4 linked regions of the Drosophila melanogaster genome follow. The protein of the gene in region 1 purifies or fractionates together with the protein of each later gene. This does not show direct contact. Each region holds a gene or a part of one and is shown in the gene's direction. Other genes may lie near its edges.

What was found.
Region 2: the proteins of Flad1 (region 1) and Cyp6a13 purify together in Drosophila melanogaster (affinity purification with mass spectrometry, with the first as the bait; one large-scale study listed by BioGRID). This does not show direct contact.
Region 3: the proteins of Flad1 (region 1) and CARPB purify together in Drosophila melanogaster (affinity purification with mass spectrometry, with the first as the bait; one large-scale study listed by BioGRID). This does not show direct contact.
Region 4: the proteins of Flad1 (region 1) and SPE purify together in Drosophila melanogaster (affinity purification with mass spectrometry, with the first as the bait; one large-scale study listed by BioGRID). This does not show direct contact.

What each region holds. Positions count from the first base shown.
Region 1 is NC_004354.4:12,900,578-12,905,404, reverse strand, and holds Flad1 (flavin adenine dinucleotide synthetase 1), read left to right. Parts: upstream 1-1,888; 5' UTR 1,889-2,064; coding exon 2,065-2,076; intron 2,077-2,242; exon of another isoform or gene 2,243-2,327; intron 2,328-2,438; coding exon 2,439-3,089; intron 3,090-3,553; coding exon 3,554-3,859; 3' UTR 3,860-4,052; downstream 4,053-4,827. Other genes in the region: CG4404 (uncharacterized protein), read left to right, coding at 371-1,128; Coq8 (coenzyme Q8), read left to right, coding at 4,450-4,827.
Region 2 is NT_033778.4:8,568,592-8,572,798, forward strand, and holds Cyp6a13 (cytochrome P450 6a13), read left to right. Parts: upstream 1-1,907; 5' UTR 1,908-1,939; coding exon 1,940-3,421; 3' UTR 3,422-3,556; downstream 3,557-4,207. UniProt on the Drosophila melanogaster protein: May be involved in the metabolism of insect hormones and in the breakdown of synthetic insecticides.
Region 3 is NC_004354.4:9,781,385-9,786,676, forward strand, and holds the start of CARPB (carbonic anhydrase-related protein B), read left to right. Parts: upstream 1-1,838; 5' UTR 1,839-2,015; intron 2,016-5,292. Other genes in the region: CG1354 (uncharacterized protein), read left to right, coding at 1-344.
Region 4 is NT_033777.3:23,684,024-23,688,754, forward strand, and holds SPE (Spatzle-Processing enzyme), read left to right. Parts: upstream 1-2,231; 5' UTR 2,232-2,262; coding exon 2,263-2,338; exon of another isoform or gene 2,339-2,514; intron 2,515-2,688; coding exon 2,689-3,081; intron 3,082-3,297; coding exon 3,298-3,607; intron 3,608-3,667; coding exon 3,668-4,091; 3' UTR 4,092-4,124; downstream 4,125-4,731. Other genes in the region: CG18754 (uncharacterized protein), read left to right, coding at 34-106, 361-682, 1,158-1,391, 1,457-1,853.

The sequences.
Region 1 (4,827 bases):
CTTGTTGTTGTTTTCCATTTGCCTGGCTTTGCATTGGTGTAGGTGTGTCACTGTGTCGCGCAGTTTTTGCCTGCAATTTGTTGCTGCTTTTGCGTTTCGCTTTTCGTTTACTGTTGCTGCACTCAGCCAAGGTGCACTGGAAAAAAACCAAGTACTATTCGTACAACTAAATTCCCATAATAAATTCAAAATAAATACAAAATAAAAGTATTTAAACTACAAAATATTCCATGTTACAAACAAGTATAAATCCAAGAATTGAGTTTGATGTGCAAATCAACTCAGTACTGTGGTTACCTTTTGGTGAACAAGTTTCAATTTGTACCGTAGAAATTTGTACTGTAAAAGATGTGTTTTGTTTCTCCTGCAGTTCGCAACTGTCGCGAGCGATGGCGCACCATAAGGAGCAGCTTCCTGCGATCCCTGAAGCTGGCACGCACACAAACGGGACGCGGCAAGCGCAAATACTACCTATCGAAGTATCTTCAGTTTCTCGTTCCGTTCACCAAGTCGCGATCCTGCCACAAGCAGCTGCCGGGCATGGTGCTCCGCAAACCCGGCCAAGCTGCCACTGCTCAGCAGGAAGATGAGGTGGTGGCGGCGGAGGAGGAGGCCAAGGTGAGCGATGGTGAGATGCCGCTGGACGTTCAGGTGTCCGAGGAGGAGCATCGTCGTAATCAGGAACAGGATCGGGAGCAACCCACCGCCTGTTTGCCGCTCCGCCTGCATTCCATCAAAGTGGAGCACGATTCGTCAAATGCGAACCAGCAGCTGGAGCGGATGGTGAGCCAGCAGTCGCTGGTCTCGGTGCCCGCCGCCGCGCTGGGCAATCACCTGGGCTGGTCGGATCTGACGCAGTGGTTCAAGGGACATGGCAGCGGTCATCACAAGTTAACCACAACAACAACAACACCAACATCACCACCACCGCCGCCGCAGCCGGCTACGTCAGCTCTAAGTGTTTTCACTGGCGGACCAGGAGGAGGTGGCTCACAACCGGATGCCGACTACTCCTTTCTGATCAGCCTGCATCCGTACATCAAGGAGATGAACGGCAAGCAGAATCGAAAGTTTCGACAGAAGGTCGTCGGACTCATCGACGATATTCTGGATAACAAGGATGTCTAATTTGTACACGGAAAAAAAACCGAAGATGCTTACGTTTCAGCGATGAAAATTACGATTTGTAAACGGCTCTATCAAAATTACCACACACAAGAGATGCATATTTTGAATGATTGTGCGGAAATATTCTACATACCAAATGCAACATTATTTCAAAACCAACATTTTCACCACTTTCAGATTTCATTCTGGCCATCATATTGCTAACTTTTAGACAATGAACTTAGTTTTTAAATATTTATGTCTAAGTTAAGTGTGAACGTACATGAAATTTATATCGAAGTTTATATGCACTGCATCGAAATTTGTAAAGCGCCCAGTGGAACAGGATGAAATCACCAGTTATGTGATATTTTCTCTCCGTGAAGAAAAAAAGCCACAAGAATCGAAGAAAACACACCCAGTTGATAGAAAACGCCAACAGTGCCCATTTATTAGATGTGTAGAGCGTACTTTAATTACGCTTTTTATTGTTGTTGTTAAGCACACACACAAACACGAATTTGTTATTGTCGAATAAAACATTTAAACTACGAACATTTTATTTTACTTCAGACGGAACAGAAACAAAATTTGCGTATATATGTCGCATTTGCTGGCGATATGCGAAATTGCGGATTAAAATCAAAACGAAACTTTCAAAATTATTTAATGTATAAATTTCTAGCTTTTTTTTTGAATTTCTAGCTAGCCAACCGCCTTAATCGAGTGCAATCGATAGATTCAGCGCACAGCTGATGCACCGATAGTACGCAAAGCTTCCTGGCTTTGTTGTTGTTGTTGTCGCCGTTCGCTTGTTGTTGCACTAAAAAGACGAAAAAAGGAAGGAAAATCACTGGCGCGGAATAACAATTAACAAAATGGAATAATTGCATTGCTGTCGCCGTAACTCATCAGTTAAATGTGCGCCAGTAAACAGTCGATGCAGCAACGAAACACATGAGCTATTGGGTGAGCTATGCGCGTGTGTGCGTGCGCCATGTGTTTGGCCTGCATGCGTGTGTGTGCGTGTGCGTGTGAGGGCCTGAGGTTTTGGCTTTATATCACTTTTTTTTTGTTTTTGCTGACTTTTCCGATACGAAAGTGATGTAATTTTTGGCTGGCCACAAATAAGCCAACTCACTCGCACGTCAACCGCCGAAGCATTTACCACGCTCATCGCACAGTTAAAGTTTGTTTATGGGCCTAGAAAATTACATAAAGTAAATACTTACACACACACACACACACGCAAAAAAAAGATATTTTTCGGCGAAAGTTTTTTTTATGTTTTATTTATTGAGTGCTAATAGTTGCTCTTTTGACTTTAACAGCGTGTGACGTCATCGTTTTTGCTAGCCAGGGCACGGCCACGCCTCCCACAAACATTACGCCCACTGAGCACCATGAACGAATGCCGGAAGAACATCACAAACATCACAAACATTACAGCGAACAACAGCATTCTATGCGCAAAGAGCATTAGCAAAAAGCATTTGTTTCTAGAGAAACGGAGCATGTCGGATCGTTCGGAGAACTCCAAGGATGTGGCAAAGGGACAGGATATATCAAATCCAATGGAACTAACAGCCGAGGATCGACTGGCCATTGAGGAGCGGCAAAATAAAGCGTTCGCCTTCTTCGCCGAAACCCTGCAAATCTACGGCGTCGAGGAGCTAATTTTCTGTTTCAACGGCGGCAAGGATTGCACCGTGCTGCTCGATCTCCTTATGCGTTACCTGCGCCAGGAGAACATCTCCAGCGGCGACATTCCCATGCTGTACATTAAATCCGGCGATTCGTTTCCGGAAATCGATGAGTTCGTCGAGCGTTGCGTACGCAACTACCGCGTCCAGTTGGTTCAGTACGAGGGTACGCTCAAGGAGGCACTCACCCACATGTCGTCGGACATGCCGCGGATCAAGGCCGTCTTCGTGGGCAGCCGCAACACGGATCCCTACTGCCAGCATCTGGCGCCCATGCAGGTGAAGCTGGTTAGGAATATAGCAATCAGGAGATAAATCATATTTAAATGTTTTGCACTGAAATGCTCAGGAGTTCGTAGGTTCAAGTGTGAAGAAAAGTTTCTTTCTCAAGAGTAGTAGATTGATTATAAAGCCAAGTTATCAAAGTCACAGCCTTAGTATCAAAATTATGCCATTGTTAATCTAGAAAAGTATGTGCCCTTTGCCAATATCACAGTGACAGTGGCATTTTCGAATGTCATGATTCCATTCCGCAGATAAGCGAGTTCTGTGGTTCACCACCTAACATAGAATTTATTCGAGTATTTTACAAAACCAAATGTATCCCGCTTATTTGAAAATCTCACAAGATCACAAAGATAATAATGAAGCTAGCTTGAAATAGTTTTGGAAAGTTCGAAACTGCTGTTTCCTATTAGGAAACCCCAAGTGCCTAGTGATGCTAATTTCGATTTTTTTTTTAGCCCACGGACAACGACTGGCCGCCGATGATGCGCCTGAATCCGCTGCTGGAGTGGAGCTACCACGACGTCTGGCACTACATCCACTTGAACTCGGTGCCCTATTGCAGCCTGTACGATCGGGGCTACACCTCGATCGGGAATCGTGCGAACACAGTGCCTAATCCGCACCTCCGACGCACCGATGCCGAGTGTGAATGTGGTTCTAATTCCGATGCCGTCTGCTCCTGCGATCTGGGTGGCTATCGGCCCGCCTGGGAGCTCCAGGATGCCACCATGGAGCGTGCTGGTCGCCTGCCCAGGAAGTAGGATTCCATTTGCGTGGCTATAGTGTAATTGAATAGCTTAAACTCCAGTTAGTCACGAAACTTTATATAGCTGTGTATATATATTAACGTGTGATCTGGATTTCGGTAAACAAACTTAATTTAGTAAAATTTTGTACGACCTAAGGTATGCCGCTGAATAAATGTGGCCTCTGTTAGCAGGCCACTTAAGCAGTATTCCTAGTTTTTATGGAGTATTTAAATTTTTAGTTGTTTAGTTGTTGAATGTTTCTTTCTAATTTTGCATAAAAGCTGAAGCAAGCTAAAAGAGCCAAAGAAACAGCACTGGCTTCAGTGCAAAATCTAGTGCTGCAGCAAGCTGGCTTTTAAAAGCTAGAAAAAGCTCAAGATGCCATGGTGCCACTGTTAAAACGCCAGCATGGCAGCACTAGATGGCCAGTCAGCTGTTTTGCCAGCTGATTTTCGCCGCATTTTCACAACATTACGCGATTCTTTGAACTTTTTTTGCTGTGATATTTTTACGAGATTTACGTAATCCTACGCGCCGATCATCACCAGCGAATCACCCACGCGAGAGCAGTGCACAATAAACCAGTATTTCCTCGCTCCGCGATGTCGCGATCCGCACAAGAAGCTGCGGCGCTGCTGCGGGGACTGCGGATCTTGTTGGAGGCGTGTGGGCGCGAGCATCTCGCCCACGGTCGTCATCTGTGGAGCAATTCAAGCATTCGTGAGCTAATCGCCGAGAATGTGGCGCACACACAGCAGCTGGTGAGAAGTTCCAGTCAAAATCCCACCGAGGAGCTGAAAAAACTGCAGCAAACTGTAAAAGAAACGGGCGAAAGGGGCTACGTGGTGGCCAAAGGTATTTGCTCGCTGCTGGAGACGAAAATCAAGATGTCCCGCGAGGAATCGGCCATCTCTGAGCCTGCACAAGTCTCCTCAATTCGTAAATCCACACCCACGGCACAAAATCCAGCAAGTTGGGAC
Region 2 (4,207 bases), on another chromosome or scaffold:
CGGAATAATAAAAATGTTCTATCTATTCTATCTTCTATCTATTGTTATTTCCGAGGTTAATAATAGAAAAAGACAGGAGGCTATCAGATACTATCAGATTGCGATATGCAAGCCCTAATTTCATAAAATATGTACATACATATTTAGTCCGGCGTACATATAAACTCCTGTGATTCTGATCTAACATATATGAGTCTCAAAGGGTTTCCTTCTATATTTTACTTTCAAACTTTTACTTTTAAACTTTTCAACGAATCTAGTATGCTCTTCACTTTACCTCTTAAAGAATAAGTTATATCATCACAATGTACAATAGTACACTTAAACTAAACAATGTATATAGTATTTGTTTACAACCTTATCTTCTAGTACCGTCTAGTTCACCATGGGAAAAAGCTTTGTCGACTCAAAAGCTGAGCAAATGTTTATATGTATATTGTACATATGTTTGATTGTTTGCTTGATTGCCGATTAAGCTCCCGAGATCTATGAAGAAAATTCGTTAGAACCTAACAATAAGCTTTCAAGAAAATACTTCGCGTACCAGTGTGCTGGATAGCTTAATCCAAAGAAGTATCTTGATCGCCATGCGGCTCACTCTCGCATTATTCAGTTTGGTCCCAATGTTGGCTTATATAGATTCTATTACAACACCTACACATATTGGGCCAGAACGGGGAGTGTCCCATGAGCGTCCTCTACCGCTGATTGCAAACATCAAGGGAATCGGCACATAGTGGATCCCGAATCCCAAAGCCGAGTTCAGAAGAAAGGGCCGCATTTACAGTTACCAACTCCAAGTTGGCTAAAAAGTTAAAAATGAAGATTCTTCGCGATGATTTGACCGACTTCTTCTTGTCGGTGGTTAAACCGGCATTAAGCGGAATGACTTTATGGACCAGTCCTCCGAGCGGAGGACGAAGTAGCAGGCAAGGAGGGTCAAAGTTTGATCTCTCCCACAACTGGACCCTGGAGCAAATGGCTGCCCAGGCCATCGTGTTCTTCTTGGCTGGATTCGAGACCTCCTCCAGTACGATGAGCTCTTGTAAGTACGAACTAGCCCTCCAGCCGGAGATCTAGAATCAAATAAGGGATGAAATAGAAAGGGTTCTGGAAGGAAATGCGATTACTTACGACGCCTTAGCTAAAATTAACTATCCAGAACAGGTCTTGTCTGGTAAGCATGGAAAATTTGATAGCGCAACTTAACTTTTAGAAACTCTTCGAAAACATCCAATTAATTAAATTTTTGCTCGAAACACAAGAAAGCTTTAGGGTCCGCAATACTGAGCTCATCGTTGAGAAGGGAACTTCATTACTGATACCTGTGCACAGTGTTCACTACGATCCGCACTTATATCCACATCCAAAACTCTTCGATTCCAGCCGCCTCAAGGCTTATAAGTCCAACTCCCGCCATCCATTTGCATATCTGCCCTTCGGAACATTTGGACCCCGCAGTTGCATAGGTCTGCGTTTTGGCAAAATGCAGGCCAAGATTGGCATTGTGTCAGCGCTTCAAGTTCGGTGATTCAGACCTAACAGACATCCCCTTAGCTTCGGACACTCGCAGCGCCATAGTGGAACGCATATAGACTCGGAATTTTACTAACTTTGGAAAGTTTAGAATGTACTTGTAAAACTTGTAAATAATCTAATAACGCTTAGCCAGTGAAGTTTTTTAAATTTTCAAATAATAATTGATCTGAAAACTGAACATTAGCAACGCTCTATATATTTTGTTTACAAATCATTTGATTCTCATTTAAAATGACGCAAGATATGTTTATGTATGTTTAGATAACTGCAGTTCTTTGCATATAAGACCGATAGAGAAAGAGAGTCCCCGAAAAGAGAGCGAAGCGAAAGCTTTTCAGACGGCAAATCAAATGTACCCCACTTTTCCACTCAGTTGTTATTCTATCGAGCAGTAGGTACCATGCTGACGCTCCTGGTACTCGTGTTCACCGTCGGACTTCTGCTATATGTCAAGCTACGCTGGCATTACAGCTACTGGAGCAGAAGGGGCGTCGCCGGAGAAAGACCCGTGTACTTCCGCGGCAATATGAGTGGGCTGGGAAGGGACCTTCACTGGACGGATATCAACCTGCGGATCTACCGGAAGTTTCGGGGAGTGGAGCGCTACTGCGGCTACTTCACTTTTATGACCAAGTCGCTGTTTATCATGGATCTGGAACTGATCCGCGATATAATGATCAGGGACTTTTCCAGCTTCGCCGATCGAGGACTCTTCCATAATGTGCGGGACGATCCACTGACCGGGAACCTTCTCTTCCTGGACGGACCGGAGTGGCGCTGGTTGCGCCAGAATTTGACGCAGGTGTTCACCTCCGGCAAGATGAAATTCATGTTCCCCAACATGGTGGAGGTGGGCGAGAAGCTAACGCAGGCGTGTCGCCTCCAGGTCGGCGAGATAGAGGCAAAGGATCTGTGTGCCAGGTTCACCACGGATGTGATCGGCAGCTGTGCCTTCGGCCTCGAGTGTAATAGTCTCCAGGATCCGGAGTCGCAGTTCCGGCGAATGGGCCGATCAGTGACCCAGGAGCCCCTGCATTCGGTGCTCGTCCAGGCCTTTATGTTTGCCCAGCCGGAGTTGGCTAGGAAGCTGCGCTTCAGGCTTTTTCGCCCGGAGGTCAGTGAGTTCTTCTTGGACACGGTACGCCAGACATTGGACTACAGGCGACGGGAGAATATTCATCGCAACGACCTGATCCAACTACTAATGGAATTGGGTGAGGAGGGAGTAAAAGACGCCCTCTCCTTCGAGCAGATTGCGGCCCAGGCATTGGTTTTCTTTTTGGCCGGGTTCGACACCTCCTCCACCACCATGTCCTTCTGCCTGTATGAGCTGGCCCTCAACCCCGATGTCCAAGAAAGGCTACGGGTTGAGGTACTCGCCGTTTTGAAACGCAACAACCAAAAGCTCACGTACGACTCCGTTCAGGAGATGCCCTACCTGGACCAAGTGGTTGCCGAGACGCTTCGCAAGTATCCTATACTGCCTCACTTACTGAGGCGTTCCACCAAGGAGTACCAGATACCGAATAGCAACCTAATCCTGGAGCCGGGATCTAAGATAATAATACCTGTGCATAGTATTCATCACGACCCAGAGCTTTATCCCGATCCAGAAAAGTTTGATCCCAGTCGCTTTGAGCCAGAAGAGATTAAGGCTAGGCATCCTTTCGCCTATTTGCCTTTTGGCGAGGGTCCTCGAAATTGCATAGGCGAGCGTTTTGGTAAACTGCAAGTGAAGGTGGGTCTTGTATACCTTCTAAGGGATTTTAAGTTCAGCAGGTCGGAGAAAACACAGATCCCGCTGAAGTTTTCCAGTCGTAATTTCCTGATATCCACCCAGGAGGGAGTTCATTTGAGGATGGAAGGACTTGAAAGACCATAATAGTTGTTATCTGAAAATGTGTATAATCCTGACAGCGCGAAATATGTATAGGAAAACTCTTATCTACAAAAGACTGCGTTCCAAGATTGCATTAATCCCTACATTATACAAATAAACACAAAGAAACTGTCTAGTATCAAAAAGCTTTTTTTACAATTGAATAATGATAGATAAATAAATAAAAAAGAATTCAATTTTAGAGAGGGAGAGAAACGACTTAAAAATATGTTTTGACTGGAAATTTGAATTCTTAAAAGAAGGTGTCTTTGAATTTAAATATTAACCAATCCGAATTTTAGATGTATGTACATACATATAAAATAAAAGCTTTTAAAAGCCAGTCTTGTATATACTCTCTGTCAGAATACTGTGCTCAAAAGCTTTATAATAATAAAATTTAATTTAGAAATCTTTAATAACAAGGATAGTTTAAAATCTAATTTAGGTTGTCCTAACGTTTGGCAAGCCAAATTATAATAAGATAAGATACATTACAGAACAAAAATATTTCTAAATATTTAGGGAAAACTTTATGTTATGTTTCAAAATAAATAAATAAAGTAATTCAGTTTTCACATGGGAAAAACTTACTCCACATTTACTTAAATTGTGAAATGAAAATTTTATTATCAAATCATAAGTTAAGCATTTATTACAGACATATTATTACATTATTACAGTTCCATAGCATTTCTTAAGCGACAATAAAGCTAATTGCTATAGCACTCAAGTTGGTGGATGACATGGACAAACCCATGGACTCAGCTTTACTCACACTTAAAAGCT
Region 3 (5,292 bases), 3.1 Mb from region 1:
CCAAGTGCAAAAGTATGCTGGAGAAGATCGTTGTGACCGGCTACAAGGGACTGCAGCTGGAGTACTTCTTCACCGCCGGGCCGGATGAAGTGAAGGCCTGGACCATCCAGAAGGGCACCAAGGCTCCCCAGGCTGCCGGACGCATTCACACCGACTTCGAGAAGGGCTTCATTATGGCCGAGGTGATGCACTTCGAGGACTTCAAGGCGGAGGGCAGTGAGGCGAATGCCAAGGCCGCTGGCAAATATCGCCAACAGGGACGCAACTACACCGTCGAGGATGGCGACATCATATTCTTTAAGTTCAACGCCGGCGCTGGCCTCAAGGATGCCAAGAAGAAATGATACCGTTTGGCCATGATCATCGCCATGTCCACCGTTTTGTACATTAACTTGATCTTGTACTCCCAGATGTTTCGCTTCGCCAGAGGCTAGCTCCTCATTATCACATCCCTCACTCTCATGTTCGAGGCCTGAAAATGCATTTTGAATTTCCTTTTTTTTTGTACGCTATGTAAACACGCTTATGACACACAATCTCAGTCGTTGTTTGTTATGGTAACAGGCGGGTTAACTGGAGCACCATTTGAATCCGCAGTGATACTTGAATATTCTATAAGAATTTACCTATGTATCTTTGTGGCTATATGATCATTTGTCATGGGATTGAGATTTTTAAACATGCAAGTAATAAAATCAGGTTGTAGATTTGGCAAGTACTAGTATTGTGTTGCTATCCCTTTGCTCCTAGCTAGCAACAAACAATAAGAAATGACATATCCCTTGTCAGGCATTGACATTGTGGTAACCGAAGTCTCGGATTTCTATTGCTGAGCCGTGGCAAAACTTTTTAATCATGCTGGCAAAGTTGCTGTTGGAAACACCTGTGCAAACCTCTTTGCCACCAGAGCCAACAGGAAAAGCGGCCAAGTGCAAGGAGCTGTGCCACAAAGACTCAAAAGGAGGGAGCAGGGGCTGTGCTGTGCGCTGGTTGCTCTGTGCAAATGCAGCTGCATCCAGTACACAAAGGATCGGGTGGTTGAGGTAGCTGGCTGGTTGCCTGGTTGGTTGGCTGGTTGGCTGGTTCCACTGACTCTGGTCGCAGCGGCAACTTGCTAAGCACATAATTTGGTTTACCGCATTGCCAAACATGCGCCGCCAGAAACACGCACATTCCCCCTAAATCCCAATCTCAAACCCTTTTTCGGTTGCTTCTGGGTTCTGTTAATCTTTGCCAAAAGAAACTTTTCTTGTGCACCGTGTGACGAGCTCGAAATGTGGAGCATAATTCAAAAGTCTGCAATGAAAGTAAGGAAAAGTTTCAAAAATGTTCTATACATTTTGGGATTATGGTTTTGAGTGCAAGAAGAATGCCTCAAAATATTCAAATATTATCTTATAAAGGACCTGATTCATAGTTCAAGACTTTTTTTTACTACCAACTCATTAAAAATTATACATATAAGTGCAGTTATTTTTTAGCTATTTTTTAAATAAATTTTATAAACTATTTTTTGTTTTTTGATATTGTTTAACCCACAGTGCCACTGTGCGCAACTGCATTGCATCCTTGTGTGTTGGCTGCAAAAGTTTTTTGCGTGAGCTCGACAACTTTTCATATGAAATGTGCAAAATTACACACTCCTCCGGTCCAAGAAACGAGCCGACAAAAATATTTTGAATGTTTTATTAGCTCCCAAACTAGCCAAAGAGTGGGCGTGGCAGTTGGAGTTGCGGTGGAAATGGAGAAATCCAATTGCCCCGGCCTTGTAGTTAATTAAAGTGTAATGTCCTGCCCCAAGAATGGCTACACATTCAGCAGGAGCTGGAGCTGGAGCCATCGTGGTGCCCACGTTGACAAGGCCCATCAGAGGAGCGTGAAATATGGCCACTTTAGAGTCCGGCCAAATGGCCCGTTCGCCGTAGAGCCGCTCTGTCCTCGACGTTCGTCAACAAAGGGGCCAAACACAAATCATTCGGAATAGAACAATTCGGAATAATGGGTACGAGTTTCAGGTGAGCGAATAAAGAAATACCCTATACGTATTGAAATCGGTTGGTATCAGTGGATCTTTCTGGTGTCTAAAAGTATGCAGCAATATATTTCTAATTTGTCTGCTCCAAGGATTCACTTAATGTTGAAAGGAGATAGCAAGTAGCCATGTTGCAACATCCATGTAATAGATAAGTCGCCCGATCCTGCCAGGCTAACGATAACAAAGCCAACTAGTCGCAGCGGCATCGTCATTCATGCACTCAATTCAGAAATTCATTCAATTCAATTGAAAAATGGCGCTTGAATATTTGACGCATGCAAAATGGTTGGGCGTTAGAGCGTAGGGGGTGGGCGTGGCACGCCGTCAGCATCAACTGTCACTTGCAGAGGGCATCGTGGGCAGCAAAGCGTTAAAAATGACTGTCATAAATTAATGAGCGACGAATCCGGAGTGACGCATCGAAATTGAATTGAATATATTTTTCGCTGAATTGGCGTTCATTATTCATTTACAGCTGTCTCTAGACATTCGAAGATCTGATACGTACATATATATATATATATATGTATATATCTATCTATTCCAACTACCTTTAATTGCTTGTAAAAAGTGCATTGCACCGTTGGCTGTGCCACCCACTTTTAAGCCCACCCATCGTCTCAATTTCAATCCCAATCTGGCCATAAACGTGACAATAATATAAATCAGCAGATTGCGCCGCACTCACTCACTCGATGGGCTCCTCCGGAATCCGGAACCTTATCGTCATAATCACGTATCCGCATCCCCCCGTTATTATCATCATTATCATGGGCAGGACCCATCATCATTGTTCCTGTCGTCTACGCCGGCATTTAACTTAATGCCCACATGCGGCGACAGCGTAAAACGATTTGAGTCCCCGGGATTAGATTCCCAGCTGCAGCAACAGGAGTTCATAGTGGGTGTGGGAATGTGTAACGGTATGGGTATGGGGTCAACTCAAATGGGTTGGAGGAGTGGGGTCAGGGGTCAGGTCTAACTTGCGTTGCAACGAAGGTAAAACGTGCCGTTCATGGAAATAAAGCGTGTAATTGTTTTGGCAGCTGCCGAAACGTTTTAACAGCTAATTAAGAAGCCATCAGACACAGGAAAATGGTTAGAGAAAGTAGAGAAAGCTGCTGGGTTCGAGAGTGTGGGGAAACAATGGCAGCTATATCAAAAAGATTTAACTCAAGATTAGAAAACATTTGACGAAATTAAAGTATATTATAACAACGATTTTCTAAACTCATTTTTGCCACATAAAATCGAACTATTTTAAAGGGTAGTTCAATGATCATAAACATTTGCAGGCATGTTATATTAAATGAAAGATCGAATGGGTTGAGTATAAAGTTCTTTTAGTTCACGTTGCACTCGAATTTTCCGTTGCCTTCGTTTTGACAAAGTCACTGCAAGCAGAGCAATTTCATCAACACCTTCTCTCGAGTAATTAAATTCGCTGGGCGGAAGTTGGTTTCCGATGCTCCCGATTCACGACTTTGCCTTTGACACTAATAAGCGGGATATCATGCCGTGGTCTGCGAGTATTTTCGTTGGCCTTCTGGGAACCGAAATCTGAAATCTGAACGCTAAAATCCGAGAGGCAAAAGCTGAAAGGCGAGAGTCAGCGCTGAAAAACAATACATTAAGCGACTTTCAATCTCCCAGTGGGTGGTCTCAGTCTGTCTCAGTGTGCGTGCTTCTCTCGCTGTTTTAGTGTGTGTGTGTTTGAGTGCAAACAGACTCACACACACACACACACACGGACAGGCGCACACGTATGGCACCGGAAAATGTGTTCATTTCCGGTGTCAGTGTCAGAAGCAACAATGGGGCAGCATCTCGCCAACTTTTGCCCGCCGTGACTTTGATGAAAAATCGCGAAGCTGACGCTGCCAGTCGACCTCCGAAACGTGTGTGTCCTTGGCGATGGCAGCGTGACACGATGGGCAATGGGGTCAACCGATATTTAACATCATCAATTGGTTGAAGAAAAAACTACACTTTGTATACTTTTATGCGGAATAAGGAACAAATTCATAGTTAACCAATGAGTCAAATGTATTGTAAATCCTGTTTTAATGCATTTTTTCTACTGGTATTCTTTACATTTAAAGAGCTTTTAAGTAGCTTAAAAATAAATATTTCGGTGCCACTTTGGGTTCATTATAACAATAAGCCATTCCCTAATGAGTTGCAATAGTTTGCCATCTCTAGGACTTGCAGACACACACACACACCCACACACTCGACTCCCTTATGTGCGATGCACTTCATTCAGGCGAGAAAAAGAGAAGAGACATCATAATAATGTGGCCCATGTGGAAAACAAAGCAAACAAGCAAACAAAACCCAACCAACAAGTGAGCAGACAAAAAGAGCCTGGCGAATGCCAAAAAGTAGGCAACACATCCTATCCCACACACCCACACACACACACCACCAAACGAAAGAGAGCTGCCCAAATGCAGCATATATTTTTAATTTCCTCTTATACATATGCAACCTATAGAATAAAGGGGTCCACTACGGCAACCGCAATCTATACTTATGAACCACTCCAACCCGCACCCGTCTATGTCTATATACATATCATGTGTAATGTTTGTGGGTTAGAAGCCCATAAGTAAAAGCAGCACAGGTACCGATGGAAATGGGAATAATGGAAACAATGCAATTTGGTCAAGAACGAAGTAACTCGATAACTTATTAAGGGTGCATGATATGCATACATGTGGTATGAGATGCCGTACGTTGCTTATTTAAATGATTGCAGTCATAACAATCAGCATCAATCTATCAATCAATAATTTGAAGTGCCTATTGTTTAAGTGTAAAATTACTATGTCAATGCCAATAGTTGCTGTCTAGTTAGGAAAAAGTTCTTCAATATTTCAATGAATATTTTAAACCTTTCATTTCCATCTTTAATAACATAATTTTCATCTGGTTTAATTCGCTTTCCTCGACTTTCGATTGCATTTACCGTGAGTGTCGTCGGACGATCTGAGGCATTACTAATAAGGAGCCAAGTGGGGGCTTTTCATGCTTGACTGGGCCATCGATGTGAAGTTCGTTCGGCCACGCCCCCAACTTCTGTCCTGCAACGCCCACCGTTTGGGCCGTTTCGCTTTGTCGGCCAATGTGTGTGGCTGTAAAGTTTATTTATGGCCAACTCCCTGGGCCTTCCATATGCCTGATTTATCGCTGTTATTGAAAAATTCGTAGTGCAGCTTTTAATTATGAGGCGAGGTGCAAACAGAAAAATGGGT
Region 4 (4,731 bases), on another chromosome or scaffold:
TATTTAGTGTCAGATCGAGTTTGGATGTCTAGCATGTCGGACAGACGTAAAGTTTATATTTTGGTCCTTCTCCAGGCCATTTTCTTCAACCAATTGGCTGAGTGTGGTAAGCAAAAGCAATGATTTTTAAGTTTTCGTAAAAAACCGAAGATGTTATATCTTGCTCAATAATATCCTTGCAGAGGATGTGTGCTGTGAATAGGTCACGTTCGACCCCATGAATTATAAAAATTATCATATCCATCGATCCGTTTTATTATAAATCATATTCAAAAATAATAATAATAATAATATTTCCACATAGACTCGTACTGCTATACTTTATCGGGGCTTTCACTTATCTATTTTTGTAATTTATAGTTCGGTTATCAAGCTGCCAAAAGGATGAGAAATGCACCAGACTGGTTAGCTGCTCGCCGCTTATGAACATCCTTAGGCCCCGGGGCATGACCCAGGCGGAGAAAGATGTGTTTGCACACAGGCAGTGTGGCCTGGACCCCAATGGACACGAGTTGTTGCACATGGTTTATGTCTGCTGCCCAGAGTTGGGTGACGTCTTGCCCAACAAACAGACCTGTGGACAAACGACGCCCGTGTTCCGAGATCGGGGTGCCGAGAATGCAGAGCTTAATGAGTACCCTTGGATGGTATTGCTGTTATATGAGAATCGGCTATCCTTGATGTGGAATCAACGAACTGGTTGTGCGGGCTCACTGATCAACAGTCGCTGTTCACACATGAACACGAATATATTTAAAGACTTACAATTTTGGGCTCCGTTCATATCTTATGTAAATGAATCGAGAGCGATAAATTATATTTAGGATTTTGTTATCTAAGGCGACATGGGTGCATTGCTCAAAAACATGTAATTTAAGTGCACACTACATGAGTCAGTCACTTGAGATCTTTCCCCGCCTCCTAAAATAGTCCCTTAGTGGGAGACCACAGATAAGGTCCTCGCCGCTCAAGATAGGCAGATGTGCCCGAGCGTGGGACCTCGATAAGGCGGGGACTATTTACTTAGGCCTCTGCGTAGGCCATTTACTTTAAGATGCGATTCTCATGTCACCTATTTAAACCGAAGATATTTCCAAATAAAATTAGTTTCTTACAAAAACTCAACGAGTAAAGTCTTCTCATTTGGGATTTTACAGTCGCTATGTGCTGACCGCTGCCCACTGCGTGATCGGTGGTTACTTGACGCAGAATGACCTGGTTCTGAAGAGTGTGCGCCTGGGCGAGTCCACTACCGACTGCATCACCTCGGAAAGCAGGTGTCCACATTTGGATGTGGAGGTGGGGCAAACAACAGTACATCAGGGTTTCACTTCGAGTGGCGGAACTTACCGCAACGACATCGCCCTCCTCCGATTGCAATTCCCAGTGCGGTGAGTAGCAGTGATCTCCACCCTAATCTCCACATCTTATGGAAATTTCTTTACAAACCCGCTAGATACACGAAAAAGATCCAACCCATTTGTCTATTGGACGCCGAATTTCCCCTACAGGATTTGAATTTGCAAATCTCTGGCTGGGATCCGACTAAAAGCAGTCAAACGTTGATCACCAGCACGGTCAAGGAAAGGAATCCTGCTGATTGCTTGAATAGGTATCCCAGCTTTCGCTCCGCGTCCCAAGTATGCGCCGGTGGTCAACGGAAAGGGGACACCTGTGCGGGCATCTCCGGCAGTCCGGTAATGGGCATCATGGGAAGCGGCGTCGACGAGTTCGTCTTTTTGGCAGGCATTGCCTCATATGGACAACAATATTGCTACTCTGCTGGTATTCCAGGTGTTTACACAAAAATTGGCCACTTTTCGGAGTGGATCAAAGCGAATTTGGCTCCCTAATTTTAATAAAGAATTCATATTTGCAAAATTGGAATAGCATCTGTTCCATTAATCCACTACTATAAAGTAATAGACCTATAAAACCCCAAAAGATAAGAAAAAGCACTGAAGATTGTTTTTTAAAAAACGTGTTGTTCAAAAAACATAACGTGCCGAGAGAAGATTAAGCATAAATAAATTTCTAATAACTACACCGCTGGGTTTGCCCAGCTCAGCAGAACTACTATGTAAATATTAAGGCAGGGAAAGACCACCCTATTCACATAGCTTTTGCCTTTGTTGCAATCTAGATGGTATTGAGTCCGGAGATAACCTCTGCTAATCACGCCCAATGCATCGGGAGAGAATCGGTGACAGCGAAACTGCCGGACAGCTTGGTTAGTATCAGCTTGGAGCCCATAGCGACGAGATGGCTTCTACGGAACGGAATTTTCTGCTACTGTCACTGGTGGTCAGCGCATTATCCGGCTTGGTCCATCGATCAGGTGGGTAAGCTGTCCTTTGGGCAAACAATATCCACAGCAACTGGATGCAATGGTGCTTCTTTCAAAAGTATATAGTTCTATATATATAGTATAGTATAGTATATAGTTTGAATAAAGCTAGAAAAACTAAGCACTTGACCTTGTTGATTGTGAGAATAAAAACCATAACAACTAATAATCAAAGAGTTTTTGAAAACTTCAAATATATTAAATATCAACATATAGTTTCCCGGACTAAGAAATTTTATGAGAAATATTAGACATGAAGTCCATTAGTAGAATGGATTGCCTTTAATGGATTGGTTCAGAACCGGTTAGACTGCATCGTAAATCGCGCTCTTCTCTTCCAGACGCAGCGGAGATCAGCTTTGGCAGTTGTACGCCCCAGCAGAGCGATGAGCGCGGCCAGTGCGTTCACATCACCAGCTGCCCCTACCTGGCCAACCTGCTGATGGTGGAGCCAAAGACTCCCGCCCAGCGAATCCTTCTCTCCAAGAGCCAGTGTGGCCTGGACAACAGGGTTGAGGGCTTGGTGAATCGAATCCTGGTCTGCTGTCCGCAGAGCATGCGGGGCAATATCATGGACTCGGAACCAACTCCTTCGACGAGGGATGCACTGCAGCAGGGGGATGTGCTGCCTGGAAATGACGTCTGCGGCTTCCTTTTCGCTGATCGCATTTTCGGGGGCACCAATACGACCCTCTGGGAATTCCCATGGATGGTATTGCTGCAGTACAAAAAACGTGAGTAGATTACCTACCCAGGCTCTATTTTAATCTCTTATAGGAAGGTTGTTTCACGAGGTCACCTGTAATCATTTTTTAATCACTTTTTCAAATCAAATTCTCCAATGGGGGGATCATCATTATAAGAAAACGCATATTCAATATATACAAGGCTATTATTAGTATCTAATCAATTTATAATATGTACTTGGGAAACGCTCTTTATCCTTTCAGTTTTTTCTGAAACCTACACTTTCAACTGCGGCGGTGCATTGCTCAACTCGCGCTACGTCCTGACCGCTGGACACTGCCTGGCCAGCCGAGAACTGGACAAATCCGGTGCCGTTCTACACAGCGTTCGCCTGGGGGAGTGGGACACTCGTACCGATCCTGACTGCACCACCCAGATGAACGGACAGCGCATCTGTGCACCGAAACACATCGACATTGAGGTCGAGAAGGGCATCATCCACGAGATGTATGCTCCCAATTCCGTTGATCAGCGTAATGACATTGCGTTGGTGCGCCTTAAGAGGATTGTTAGGTATGTGGTCCAGAGATCCCTCAATTATTCCACTGACTTGCTTTTTTGTTTTTGCCACAGCTACACCGACTACGTGCGTCCAATATGCCTTCCCACGGATGGTTTAGTCCAAAACAACTTTGTGGACTACGGCATGGATGTGGCCGGCTGGGGACTTACCGAGAACATGCAGCCAAGTGCGATCAAGCTGAAGATCACCGTCAACGTTTGGAACCTAACGAGTTGTCAGGAAAAGTACTCCAGCTTCAAGGTGAAACTGGACGATTCTCAGATGTGTGCCGGCGGCCAGTTGGGCGTGGATACATGCGGTGGCGATTCCGGCGGTCCCCTTATGGTGCCTATATCCACGGGCGGCCGGGATGTCTTCTACATTGCCGGCGTCACCTCCTACGGGACGAAGCCCTGCGGCCTCAAGGGATGGCCCGGCGTCTATACCCGCACGGGGGCTTTCATCGATTGGATAAAGCAGAAATTGGAGCCATGATGAATACATACTTAAATACATGATAACCATGTGAAAAGCGCGATGTAGATATTGGGGTTTAATCAATTCACATGAGATCGGCACTGTCAAGTTTTGCGAGCACAACCGGTTGTAATAATATCGAACCACTTTTCTGTCAATCTGTGATCAGCAAAGTCTGGTAGTAGCTTGCCCACGTAATTTCCCATATTCTAATGGAAAAGTAGAGGAAAATCTCTGGAACTCATTTATCTCTGTTGCAATAGCCATCTCACTTGTCAATCTAGACGGCAGATGTGCCGGAGAGCTTGGTCAGTATCGGATTGGGTTCTGGGGTATCGAGATGGCTTCCATGGAATGGAATTTTCTACTATTGCTAATGGTCATCTGCGCATTTTCCGAGTGGGTCCAACATTCAGATGGGATGCCATAAACGACAACGATTTCACCTGGATCCGCTTAAAATTTTGAAATATATCCACACACGAGGTGGAGAAGGGCATTGTACATGACCAATAGTTGCCTAATTCCGTAGACCAGCAGAATGACATTGCTTTGGTTTTGAAAAGGAGTGGCATTGAAAAGGAGTGGCGGGTGTGTGGGATGTGTGAGTATTCCATAACTTCTTCATCATTGTTATTCATTCACCAGCTACACCGAC